3 linked regions of the Elephas maximus indicus genome follow. The protein of the gene in region 1 purifies or fractionates together with the protein of each later gene. This does not show direct contact. Links are inferred from orthologs where the notes say so. Each region holds a gene or a part of one and is shown in the gene's direction. Other genes may lie near its edges.

The links.
Region 2: the proteins of PPP2CA (region 1) and INTS4 purify together in Homo sapiens (affinity purification with mass spectrometry; 3 studies listed by BioGRID and IntAct, with this or other methods). This does not show direct contact. The link is inferred for Elephas maximus indicus from reciprocal best matches to the Homo sapiens genes PPP2CA and INTS4.
Region 3: the proteins of PPP2CA (region 1) and PPP2R5B purify together in Homo sapiens (co-immunoprecipitation; 9 studies listed by BioGRID and IntAct, with this or other methods). This does not show direct contact. The link is inferred for Elephas maximus indicus from reciprocal best matches to the Homo sapiens genes PPP2CA and PPP2R5B.

What each region holds. Positions count from the first base shown.
Region 1 is NC_064820.1:146,616,453-146,620,197, reverse strand, and holds the start of PPP2CA (serine/threonine-protein phosphatase 2A catalytic subunit alpha isoform), read left to right. Parts: upstream 1-824; 5' UTR 825-1,173; coding exon 1,174-1,275; intron 1,276-3,745. UniProt on the Homo sapiens protein: Catalytic subunit of protein phosphatase 2A (PP2A), a serine/threonine phosphatase involved in the regulation of a wide variety of enzymes, signal transduction pathways, and cellular events.
Region 2 is NC_064825.1:44,099,309-44,103,053, forward strand, and holds the start of INTS4 (integrator complex subunit 4), read left to right. Parts: upstream 1-1,404; 5' UTR 1,405-1,537; coding exon 1,538-1,591; intron 1,592-3,646; coding exon 3,647-3,745. UniProt on the Homo sapiens protein: Component of the integrator complex, a multiprotein complex that terminates RNA polymerase II (Pol II) transcription in the promoter-proximal region of genes.
Region 3 is NC_064825.1:128,089,448-128,093,192, forward strand, and holds the start of PPP2R5B (serine/threonine-protein phosphatase 2A 56 kDa regulatory subunit beta isoform), read left to right. Parts: upstream 1-1,443; 5' UTR 1,444-1,767; intron 1,768-2,218; 5' UTR 2,219-2,490; coding exon 2,491-2,689; intron 2,690-3,328; coding exon 3,329-3,525; intron 3,526-3,745. UniProt on the Homo sapiens protein: As the regulatory component of the serine/threonine-protein phosphatase 2A (PP2A) holoenzyme, modulates substrate specificity, subcellular localization, and responsiveness to phosphorylation.

The sequences.
Region 1 (3,745 bases):
AGATTCATAAACTAGACAGAGGTCCGATTCTATGGTATTGGAGTTTGCTTTAAAATGCGAATCACAGCTGCTTCTACCACCACTGGGACACGGTCAGGACCGGTGTGTCCCTCTAGAAAGGAGGCCAGGCAGGCAGCGGCTGGGGTCTCTCATTACCGGGGAAACTGGAGTCGGAGGAGGAGGCACACCTGGAGCAGGCGACAACAGGAAAGGCCGTGCGAGAGCGAGAGAAGCCCCAAGCCTTAGCCTCCATCACTGCGCCCAACGAGTGCCCGGGCCCAGGGACAGGTGTGTGGCGGAAGTCAGGTGCTTTCCGCAGGTACACTCTCCTCCGCCCACGTGTGACCTAATTACAAGGGGTGAGCCGCGCCCAGGGGCGGGGTGGTCACTCCAACCAGGGTGCCAGTGAGTGGGTGCCCTGTCCCTGCCCCCAGAGATGTGTGAATCCCACGCAATTCCAGTGCTGTTGAACCATGGAGGAGCCATGGGGTCGCCTTCTCGTTTCCATGATCTGGATCCCAATCCCCAGGTGAAGAACTAACACGTTTTACCAGGCCTCCCCAAGTGAAAAGTCTCAGCTAGGAAGCCCCCTTCTACGAGGACTGCGCCTGCGCGAAGCTCGCGCGGGCGTCTCGTAGGGCGTAGCGTTCGGAGATAATCCCGATTCACAGCTGCAGGCACAGCGCTTGCGCGGATTCGGTTTTTTTTTATCCCACCACCCCGCGAGCCTTCCCTTCTGGGAGACCACGCCCTAAAAGAGAAGGTGCGTCAGTTACTAGCCGGCTAGAATGCGCCTGCGCGTTGGCTCCTAGTTTCCGTCCCCTCTGACTCGGTTCTTGCGGTAGACCAGGATCTGATCTGCAGTTGCGCCGCTCGTGTCCCGGCGCTTTTTTTCTTCCGCACCCGCCGCCTTCTGACGCCGGGCGTGACGTCACCACGCCGGGCGGCCGCCATTACAGAGAGCCGAGCTCCGGAGCTAGAGCCAGCGGAGGAGGAGCAGCGGCCGGTGGCCGAGCATTGCGGGGCCACCCAGTGGGCCAGCGCTAGCGCCGAGCAACCGCCAGTAGCCACAGTAGTACTCCGGCAACCGGCGGCGGCGTGTGCGTGTGGCCCGTGTGCGGGCGGCGGCGCGGGAGTAGGGCGGAGAGGCAGCCGGTTCGGGCGGGTGGCATCATGGACGAGAAGGTGTTCACCAAGGAGCTAGACCAGTGGATCGAGCAGCTGAACGAGTGCAAGCAGCTGTCCGAGTCCCAGGTCAAGAGCCTCTGCGAGAAGGTGAGCTGCACTCCAGCTGCGGGTGCTGCCGCGGGGCCGATCTTGCCAAGAAGGGGTGCCTGTGGGGAGGGTGCAACATGGCGGAGGCCGCCGGCCAGAGCCCCCCGAGCCTCCCAGTCCGGCGCCCGGCGCGGCCCGGCGGCGGCTCCCGAGCGACCCGGCGCCCCCTGTCTCTCGCTGAAGGATTGGTTGTCGCCGCCGCCGCCTAAAATGGCGCCGTTCCCCCGACTCAGGGGGTTCTGAGGCTCCGGCCCTCGGCGCCGGGCGGGGTGGCAGGGGGAGCGGAGACCCTGTATATCAGGGTCAGGGACGGTGTTGAGATTCAGGTAAAGGGACTTGGGTTCTGCAGCCCGGGAATGGGGCCTAGGCCTCCACTGTGAGGTGGGTAAGCTGCTTTTTACTTGTGTTCAGGCATAATTTTTAGATTCAGCGTTGTGCAGAGAGTCCCCAAAGGCAAGCAAGTAGGCCAGATCCCAGAACCTGTCTAAAGGTCATAGAGCTTTAGCACTATCCTGGGTGGTTTGTATTAAACATCTTATACATAAGTCTCTAACCCAGTTTCTGCGAAGGTCACGGTAGTTATGAGGAGGAGTAACTAATTCTTCATAGTTGGAAAAAATGGAGAATTTGGTGAGTCACACTGCATAAGGAGCTATTGAATTGGAAATCAAGTGTCGGCTTAATTTATGATTTATACGCTGATTCAAATTGGGTAGTGTGAACCCTTTCCTAAGCTGAACATACTTGCTGTTTTGCCATTTGTTTTTTAAAATGATGAACTGGAAGGACGGCAAGTTTTATATCCTGGGTCTTTTTTGAAAAAGTTACTTAATTGTATTTCTGTGGCTGCAAGTAGTAGTAGTAGTAATGATAGCTGTTGATAGAGTTCATTCCAGACAGTGTATTGCAGACACTGCTTAGTGTGTAAATAAATAATTTCACAGATGTTGAAAGTGAAATGTCATAGCCCACTTAATAACGCTAAACTTTAATTTTGTACTAATTCTAGTTTTTCCTTGGGTGTTGGTGAAACAGGTAGCTTAATAGATTATCTATTACTTGTTCAGCTGTGTTGTATTTCTTAGAACCCCGTTTTCTAATGTATAGAAAATGCTGATCTCTATGAACATTTTAACTTCCCTTTTCAAAATTACCTTTGCAGCATTTCATTTTAATATAAAATAGTGCGATATCATGTTAGTATGTTGTGTTAGTGAAAAGAGTTACAGGAGAGCTGTTACGCTGACTCGTTTGTGGTTTAATGTGAAAATCAGGATTATGAATTTGATGCATATGCTCCCGAGACGGACTTTTTAAGAAGCTGCTGTGAATAATAGGAATTTAAGTGAGTCAAATTCAGATTTATTTATCCCAAGTCTGGGCAAAACTCCACTACCAGTTGATGAGGTGGCACATCATCTATTGGAGCTGAATTTTAATGGATAGCAGTGTACTGAATCTTTTCTTTCTTGACCCTTAATTTTAAAGTTCTTCAATTAGATAAGGTTGGTATGTATTTCAAAGGTTTAAAGATTAGGCTGTTAAAAACTTAGAATATATTGCCAAGGGCTTAATTTCTAGGTACTATAAATAATCATTTTATGGAGTTTTAGGGTTCAGTACTTGCTCTGTATAAAGACTTTGCTAGACGACTAGTCATTTGTGTAGAAAACATTGGAGAGAGGTAATGATGTAATTGAAAGGCCACTGAGCTGCGAGTTAGACCTGGATACTAGTCCTGTTTCTGCCACAGAATTAGTAGTTGTGACTGAACTTGGAGCAATTACATCACTTGGTCCTCATTTTCCTTTGTATAAGGAGTTAAAACAAATGTTCTAAGGTCACTTCTAATCTTGCAAGATTATACAATTTCATCATAAATTAGTACTTTGTGTTTAAGTATTGGAGATCTGTTGACTATCCAGGATTGCTTACTCTTATGCGGGGAGTGAAAAGCAACAAAGAATAACAAAGCCTGTTTTCAAGGAGCTTTGAATTCAGTTGGAGAGACAAGCATGGCATGGTAGTCAGTAAGGAGGTGGACTGTGGAAGTAGAGAGTTTGTGTTGGAGACTAAAGTGGGGTGGTAAATGTTGTTTTCCACATCTTTGTAAAACTAAGGTATAGTGAGGCTAATCACTTATTCTCAGATCTGCATTGCTCAGTCAGCATGTTTAGGTTTGAGTTCTGACAGCCAAAAAGATGAACGTAGTATTTGAAGTTAGGTATTACATAAAGGTTCCAATGGAATGGATCCTTTTTGTGGGGGAGTATCATAACATAGTTGTCATTCTGATGTTAGCTTGTAAATACACCAAATTTTTTGGAACTATATTAACCTTCCAAAGTAAATTATTTGAAGACAGCTTTTTAGATATGTGGGATGTGTTAGGATGCATGACTTGAAATGGTCTTCTCTGTAATCTAGTGAAACAAAAGTTCTCTTTTCACTGTTAGTATTTGTATGTCCA
Region 2 (3,745 bases), on another chromosome or scaffold:
CTGCATGTTGCTATGAAGCTCCACAAGTTTCAGCGGAGATTCCAGAGTAAGGCAGACTAGAAAGGCCTGGTGATCTACTTATGAAAAATCAGCCAGCGAAGACCCTATGGATCACAACTGTCTGAGCCCCAACAGATCATGGGGATGGCAGAGGATTGGGCAACGGATAGCGTATCCTTCTCCACACCATAGCAGCTAACAACATCATTTATTGCAGGCAGTTTGCCAAAGTGCTTTTCATTTCACTTGATGCATTTGTATGTGCTGTAGTCTGAGATGTCTTTCCTTTTACTCTTTTAGAGCCAGATTAGTAATCCTCTTCTCTGTGAGGCTTCCCTGAGGCATCCTGAGGAAGTTGTCTGAACTGCATTCTTCCGCTATCCAGCACTTGGGGTTGAACTGTAATGATCAGTTTGAGTGTCTGTCTCCCCAATTTGGTTGTAGCTCTTGCATGCATTTTTTGGTCCTCTGTACCTAGCACAGCCTCCTGCTTTTTCTAAGCATCTTACATTAACTCTTAAAAGAACAATGAACAGCGAAAGTTTGATGTACTGCGTAAAACTCCACCTTGGATTTATTAATACTAACACATGAACTCCACAGTATAGAATATTTCCACGTTTCGTTTCGTCATTACTACATTTTCGTCAGGTTAGGCATTATCAGTGCATTCGTAGTTGAGGCCACTTGCTCGTCAAGTGCCAAAAACTAGCTTGAAGGCTAGTTTTTTGACACTGGGCCTGGGCCTTCTTTCCACTGTACTGGTGGCGCAGCGGTTAAGACCTACAGCTGCTAACCAAAAAGTCACCAGTTTGAATCCACCAGCCACTCCTTGGAACCTGCCATATGGGGTCGCTATGAGTCCGAATCGACTGGATGGAAACGGGTTTGGTTTTGGTTTGGTAGCTATCAGAAGAGAGAGCGACTCCTTAAAGGATGGACAGCTTTTGAATAACCGTAGTTTGGGAAGAAGAAAAGGCACCTTGGGCCAGAGGAGGGGTGGCGCACGGCTTGAACGGAGTTCAAGAAAGCGACAATTAGCAAGCATTATAAACAACAAAGGACGATAGGAACCTCAGCTCGGCCTCCTTCCGCTATTTTGCCAGTCAAAAACCCTTACATATCTCCAGGTTTTGCTTCTAGCTCTGAATCGCCCCGCCTCTGCCCGTTAATCTATATTTCCTCCTTCCCTTCGCTCAACTTCAGCGCCAGCCTCTGGGCCACTCTCAGACCACCAGCAATCCCCCAGAAGCTCCTATTGGCTCGTTCACCCTTTCAGTCCTGTCTTCTCCCGGCAGAGGCCCCGCCCCTTCACGCTAAGATTCCGTTTTCGTCCCCCCCGGCGCACGAGGCGTAGGCGGACAAGCCCGGCCGTACCGCTCCGGGGCAGTAGAGCCGCAGGAAGTGGCCTCTCTTTCCCAGAGCCCCATTGGCTTGTGGGATAGCGGCGAATTTGTCCAGCCTTGACCGGTTTTCCGGATCCCTCCACCCCGCCTCCGGTGGTGAGTACGGAAGCTGCGAGGGCCCGTGGGCAACCATGGCGGCGCACCTTAAGAAGCGAGTGTACGAAGAATTCACTAAGGTGGTTCAGGTAAGCGTCGGCATCAAAGTTCCCAGGACACTTCCGCGGCGGGGACGGTTATCCAGGCTCCAGGCACTTTGCCAGAACAGGCGCCAACCAGTGTTGAGCGCTTACTCTATCGTAGGGTTTCTGAGAGTACACGTTAGTGGGCGTGTTAGTTTGCCTGTACTGTTGTCATTAATAGCCTGACGCAATTTTTCTTATTATTAGAATAAATAAATGACACTTTACATTTTACGAACTTTGTTTCATCCGTTATCTCATTTTGTTTTCTCACACAACTTGTTAGATCGGGTTACATTATCCTAGTTTCACAGATGTTGTTATTGAGGCTTCCGGAGGGGTACGAAGACACAGTGCCTACTAGTCCAATTCCCAACTTCTCCAAAAAAACCTCCAGGGGCAAGGTGGCAGTTTGCAAAGTTATAAGCGGCCGCGAGAGAAAAAACCTGGCGATCAGCTCCCGTAAATATTTCAGCCTAGAAAACCCTGCGGGACAGTTCTACTCTGTAATAGGGTTACTATGCGTCGGAATCGACTTGATTGCACTCAACAAGAACACAAGGGACTTGAAGAAGAGTCTATAGAGGTCTTCAAGGCCCACGTGTCAAAGCAGGCAGAACGCTCCATTTGTGGAACAGCTGCCCTACGAAGGAGGGTGATCTTGTGTCTTTGAAGCTGTTTAAGAAAGGTGGGTTTAGCTCCCGTTTAGCAGCCGTTGATGCTCTACATGTCTCCATTTAGCTGTCGGTGAAGTAGAGGCTGATCTCAAATCATCCGTTGGGAAGTTCTTCACAAACTTTGTTGTGTATACAAATTACCCGAGGATATTGTTAATATGTCAGTTCTACTCAATATGTCCGTCAGGCTGAGGGAGGGGAAGGGAGGCAATATTCTGCATTTCCTACAAGTTCCCAATTGATGTCAATGCTTCGGATCCTTAACCATCCTTAGAGTTTCAGACTTGTGGAGTAGCAAGGCCTAGATGATCCAGTAGGAAGCTGATCCTTAAACATTTCATTCATTCATTCAACAAGAATTTATTGAGTCGATGAGGGATTACTATGTGCCAGGCGTTGTGAAAAGTGTTGGTCTACAAAGTCCAGTACACATCAGGGTCTCTGCTGTTAAGGAACTCACAGGCTAATGGGAGAGACAGGAGAACATATCTGTAATTGTAATACAGAGAGACAATTGCATTGACAAATCAAATGTTTCTTCCTTTCTCTTTTGCATCACCATCTTTTTGTAAAACCAAACTTCTTAGCCCTTTGCAGTCTGACAGTATTCCTTCCAGTTTAATCACTTGTCACTTTCTTTTTTCCCAACACTGTTGTTCCCACTTCCCAAGACTATTCTCCAAGACTTCCCCAGTGTGCCTTGTGTTTGCATATCTCCAAACTTTTGTATTTGTTCTGTTGCAAAGAATGCATACCATTTGTCCATCTTTTTTGTTCCTCACCCAATTCAATTTTATACTTTTGCTTCAAGATCCAATGGAAACTTTAGTGATAGTTTTAGTCTTTTTCTTCTGCTTCTATAGGACTCTATTGCACTTATCTATTTGTACTTATTGCTCAGTACTGCAGTGACCAGTGTGTATACTCCCAGCATTCTGGGCTCCTTGATGGCAGAGATGACATCTGGGTTCATCTTTGTCACCTGAATGGACCACAGGGCCTGGCTCACTAAAACGTTATTATTGATATCTGAATGATATCAGTTCGTCCTCCCCATTAGATAGTTTCTTAGGGAAAAATCTTCCCCAAGTTTTGTCTTAACTGCAGCCGAGATAACACTAAAGACTGGATTTGTGTAGAATAAGCTGGGAATGGATAAGGGTTTTAAAGCAAGCAGTTTTTCACTTTAATCTGCATGAGTGGTTTAGTGATGAAATGAGATCTTAGCCTTTCTGTTCTTTTTTCTCTGCTGTGAGGAGAGAGAAGTGATATGTATCTTGTGTTTATTATGCGTATGTACAGTAAAACCAAACCCAAATCAAGTTGATTCTGATCTGTGTTTTCAGTTAGGTCTTCATGTCTTATCTTCCCTTCTTCTTTACAGCAACAGCAAGAAGAAATTGCTGCCAAGAAACTCCGACTAACAAAACCAAGTAAATCTGCAGCACTCCACATAGATCTGTGTAAGGCTACTTCCCCAGCA
Region 3 (3,745 bases), on another chromosome or scaffold:
ATTCTATTTTGAAACCCAGTTCAAATGCAACTTCTTCCAGGAAGTCTTATATCTTTTCTCATGTTCCCATCCCATCCCTCAAGTCCTCAGTGGTGCACCTCCTTATACAAAGTACCAGCCATTCATGTTGACCTGGCCTTGAGACCCTCGGAGTCCAAGGCTCTGGCCCCTGAGGACTGAGATAGGGGGTGGAGCCGGTGCCCTCTTGAACCTAGGCTGGGCGGTGGGGACTTGACCCTCTCCCCTTTCGATGATAGGCTCCTCCCTGTCATCCTGGGCCTTGGGGTCCTCACCTGGTCATGGAAGGCCTGTACACCCCAGGGATGTGGGAGAGGCTTCCCCTCCTGAGCCTGGGAGATGGGCCAGGAGACAGAGCATGGGCTCCCATTTGACAGAGGAGTACACTGAGCCCAGATGGATGAAGCCTGCTGAAGATTCTGATTTAAGGGGTGGCTGGCAGGTACAGTGGCAGAGGGGGCAGACTCTGAAAAGGCCCCAGCCCCTCCCTGACCTCACTGCTCCATCTCGTTGCCCACTCCTGATGCTCAGCTGAGGCCTAGTTCTTCCAGGCAGAACTTCAGGGTGGAGATTTCACAGGTAGTGCAGAGGGCTGGCGCCCAGGCTCCTAGGACTGCAGTCCAGAACTTCTGGCTGGAATGCTAAACTCTTGGAGCCCCACCTGGACCTGGACCCCCCCACCTCCGCGCCTGCAGCAGGATTTTGAACCAGGAACCCCAGTAGCGCATTTTAGGGACTAGAGGGACTGGGAGATTCGTCCAAAGAGGCCTGCCTGCCTGGGGTGGCGTGGCAGCGCCAGGAGGACGCCTTCTCTCGTGCTTTACCACTCCAGGCCTGGCCCTTTAAACCTGAGACTATGATGTCACCGTAGCCAACAAGGGACGGGTGGGGGACTGCAGACTTGAGGATGGACTGCATCTCCCAGCAGCCTCTGGTGAACCACACCCCTCCCAGCAGGCCCTGACTCGCCGCAGACTATTAACCCGTCCAGTGCCGGTTCTCCACCGGCCTCTGAAGTGTCCAGCTATTCTGCGGTGAAGGTGCGGGCGGGGTTCCCATAGCGGTCGCGTGCGGGGGGGAGTGGATCAGCGCAATCCTTGGGCCTGGCATAGCACGCTGGCCCGTTTCCTGCCAGTGTGCTGGCATCTCCCCCAGCTTCCTGGTGCAAACTCTTGAGTCCTACTCATTCTCCATGCAGACTCCCTTCCAGAAGCCAGGGGTCCAGCCCCAGCGAGGCCTGCAGCCCACGCTGCTTTCCGGCTTCCAGAGTTGGAGCCAGCCTTCCTCCCGAGTCCGGAGTCCGCATGCAGGGTTTTCGCCCTGGCGTCTGGTCTCCCCCTTTAAGCGGCGCGGGGACTACATCTCCCAGAGGCCCCCGGGCCCGTCTGACGCAGCCCCCGCCCCCCGCCCGCGGGGCGGTGGGGGCCGGGCGGGGGGAGGTGACTTGATGTCATCCTGAGCAGCTGGGCGCGGGTGCCGGTGCGCACTGAGCTGGGCTTCGCTGCGCCGCGCCGGGTCCGAGTCCCGGACTCTAGATAGAGGTCCGCGCGCTGCTAGGGCAGCCAGGAGCCCGCCGTGAGCCCACGCCCCGGCCCGGGGCTGAGCTGGGAGGATGCTTCAGCCCCCTGAAGCCCGCGGGAGAACCTAGGAGCTCCGCCGCCTAGCCCCAGCGCCCTGAGCGGCGTCGCTGCCTCCCACCCCCACGGGCAGCCCCTGGAGGTTGGGGACCAAAGTCTGGGTTTCTGAGAAGTGAGTGTTCCTCCCCGCAAGGGGCCGACGAGGCTTTGGGGACAAGGAAGGAGGAGCTGAGGTGGGGAAGGGTGCCCGGGTTCCAGAGAGGGGTGGCATGGGGAAGAGGCCTCCACTCTGGGGAGTCAGTGGTGGCCCCATTAGAAGAGTTAGCTGCAGGGCCAGGGGTTCCATTCTGTAAGGAGCAGGGATGAGGATTGTGTGGCCATTCGGAAGAGGGTCTGGCTTCGGGTATCAGGGTTGTTTTGGAGCCAGGGGCCTTTGGTCTGGAAGGGAGACCATGGGAGAGCAGTGCACTCCTATTTTAGGGTCTCGGCCAGGGTAGGAGAGAAAAAGAGACTTGGCACTCAACTGCAGTCTCCCAACACTGTCTTTCCCAAAAGAAGAGACAGACTAGCTCTCTCTGTGTCTCTTTCTTGCCCACTTTTCTGCCTTGACTTCATTTCAAAAGAGCCAAGTGGAAACCCTAAGTGGACTCTGGGATTCCCAGGAAGGACCTGAGGTCTGAGACATCCTTGCCTCTAGCCTGCCTGCCCCCCAGGACTGGACAGCTGCCAGAGGCCCTGGGGGGGGGCCCAGGACTGTGGTCGTGTCCCCCCCCCCCCCCCCCGCCCCATGCTCCGACAGGATGGGCCCAAGTTAGTAAGCCCAGCCTCACTCAGTGATCTCCAGGCTCTGAAGCACCCCTCAGGGTTCTGAAGGCTTGACTGCTGCCTGGCCACCATGGAGACGAAGCTGCCCCCTGCGAGCACCCCCACCAGCCCCTCGTCCCCGGGGCTGTCGCCTGTGCCCCCACCCGACAAGGTGGATGGCTTCTCGCGCCGCTCCCTGCGCAGGGCCCGGCCCAGGCGCTCCCACAGCTCTTCTCAGTTCCGCTATCAGAGCAACCAGCAAGAGCTCACGCCACTGCCCCTGCTCAAAGGTGAGCTGGCCACTGTGCAGGTCCCCTGAGCCTCAAGGGGGGTGACCAAGGCTGCCAGGGCCCCTTCCAGCCCTGAGACTCCACTGACCCTGCAGTCCTCTTTGCTGACGCATGGCCTGACTGGCCTGTCATCCTTGGGGGTGGGGCATCTGCCTGTGGCACCACCCTGGGGGGCAGATCCAGGCCAAGGGTGGGGCTGCAGCCTGGGTTCTAGGAGGCTACTAGCAGCCCAGCCAGCTTCTGGGGCCCTGGAGCCTGTGTGTGACCTGGCCTCTTGCTGTCACTGTAGTCTCCGCATGCCAGGTCACAAGGTCCAACTGGCTGAGCCAGAGGGTATCCGAGGGATCCTCTGGCCTGAGCCCCCTTCCACTTCTGGCTGGTAGAACAGGGTGCCACATATGAGAGGAAGGCAGGCCCCCAGGTCTGTCTGTGGTCTTGCTCGGAAGCAGACCAGCATCTTGCCTGGGTTAGGAAGTTGTGAAGAGGAAGCTGCCCCTCACCTCCCCCACACCCTGGAGTGGAGGGTGAGACAAGGGCTGTTTGCTTTCTGCGGGGGTCAGAGTGGCCCTAGCGGTGGGAGGACCCCCTTACCCAGAGCTGCGCAGCTAGGGCCTTGGCTTAGCACCCCTCGCTCCCCAGATGTGCCGGCCTCGGAGCTGCACGAGTTGCTCAGCCGCAAGCTGGCCCAGTGCGGGGTGGTGTTTGACTTCCTGGACTGTGTGGCTGACCTGAAGGGAAAGGAGGTAAAGCGGGCGGCCCTCAACGAGCTGGTGGAGTGCGTGGGGAGCACACGGGGCGTCCTCATCGAGCCTGTGTACCCAGACATCATCCGCATGGTGAGCACGGGCATCAGGCTGCGGGGGGCATGCGCCACCCAGCCTCTGGGGGGCTCAGGGGCGTGGGAGTCCTGGTTCCCCGTGCAGGGAATAAACCCTACATTCTTCACTTGGCTGCACAGCCCCCATCTTCCGTCCCCTCCTGAGCCCCACTGCCACCCTGCACCTGGCCACTCAGTGCCTCCCAGGCCTGTCGCATCTCCACCCCTTTACTCTGTTC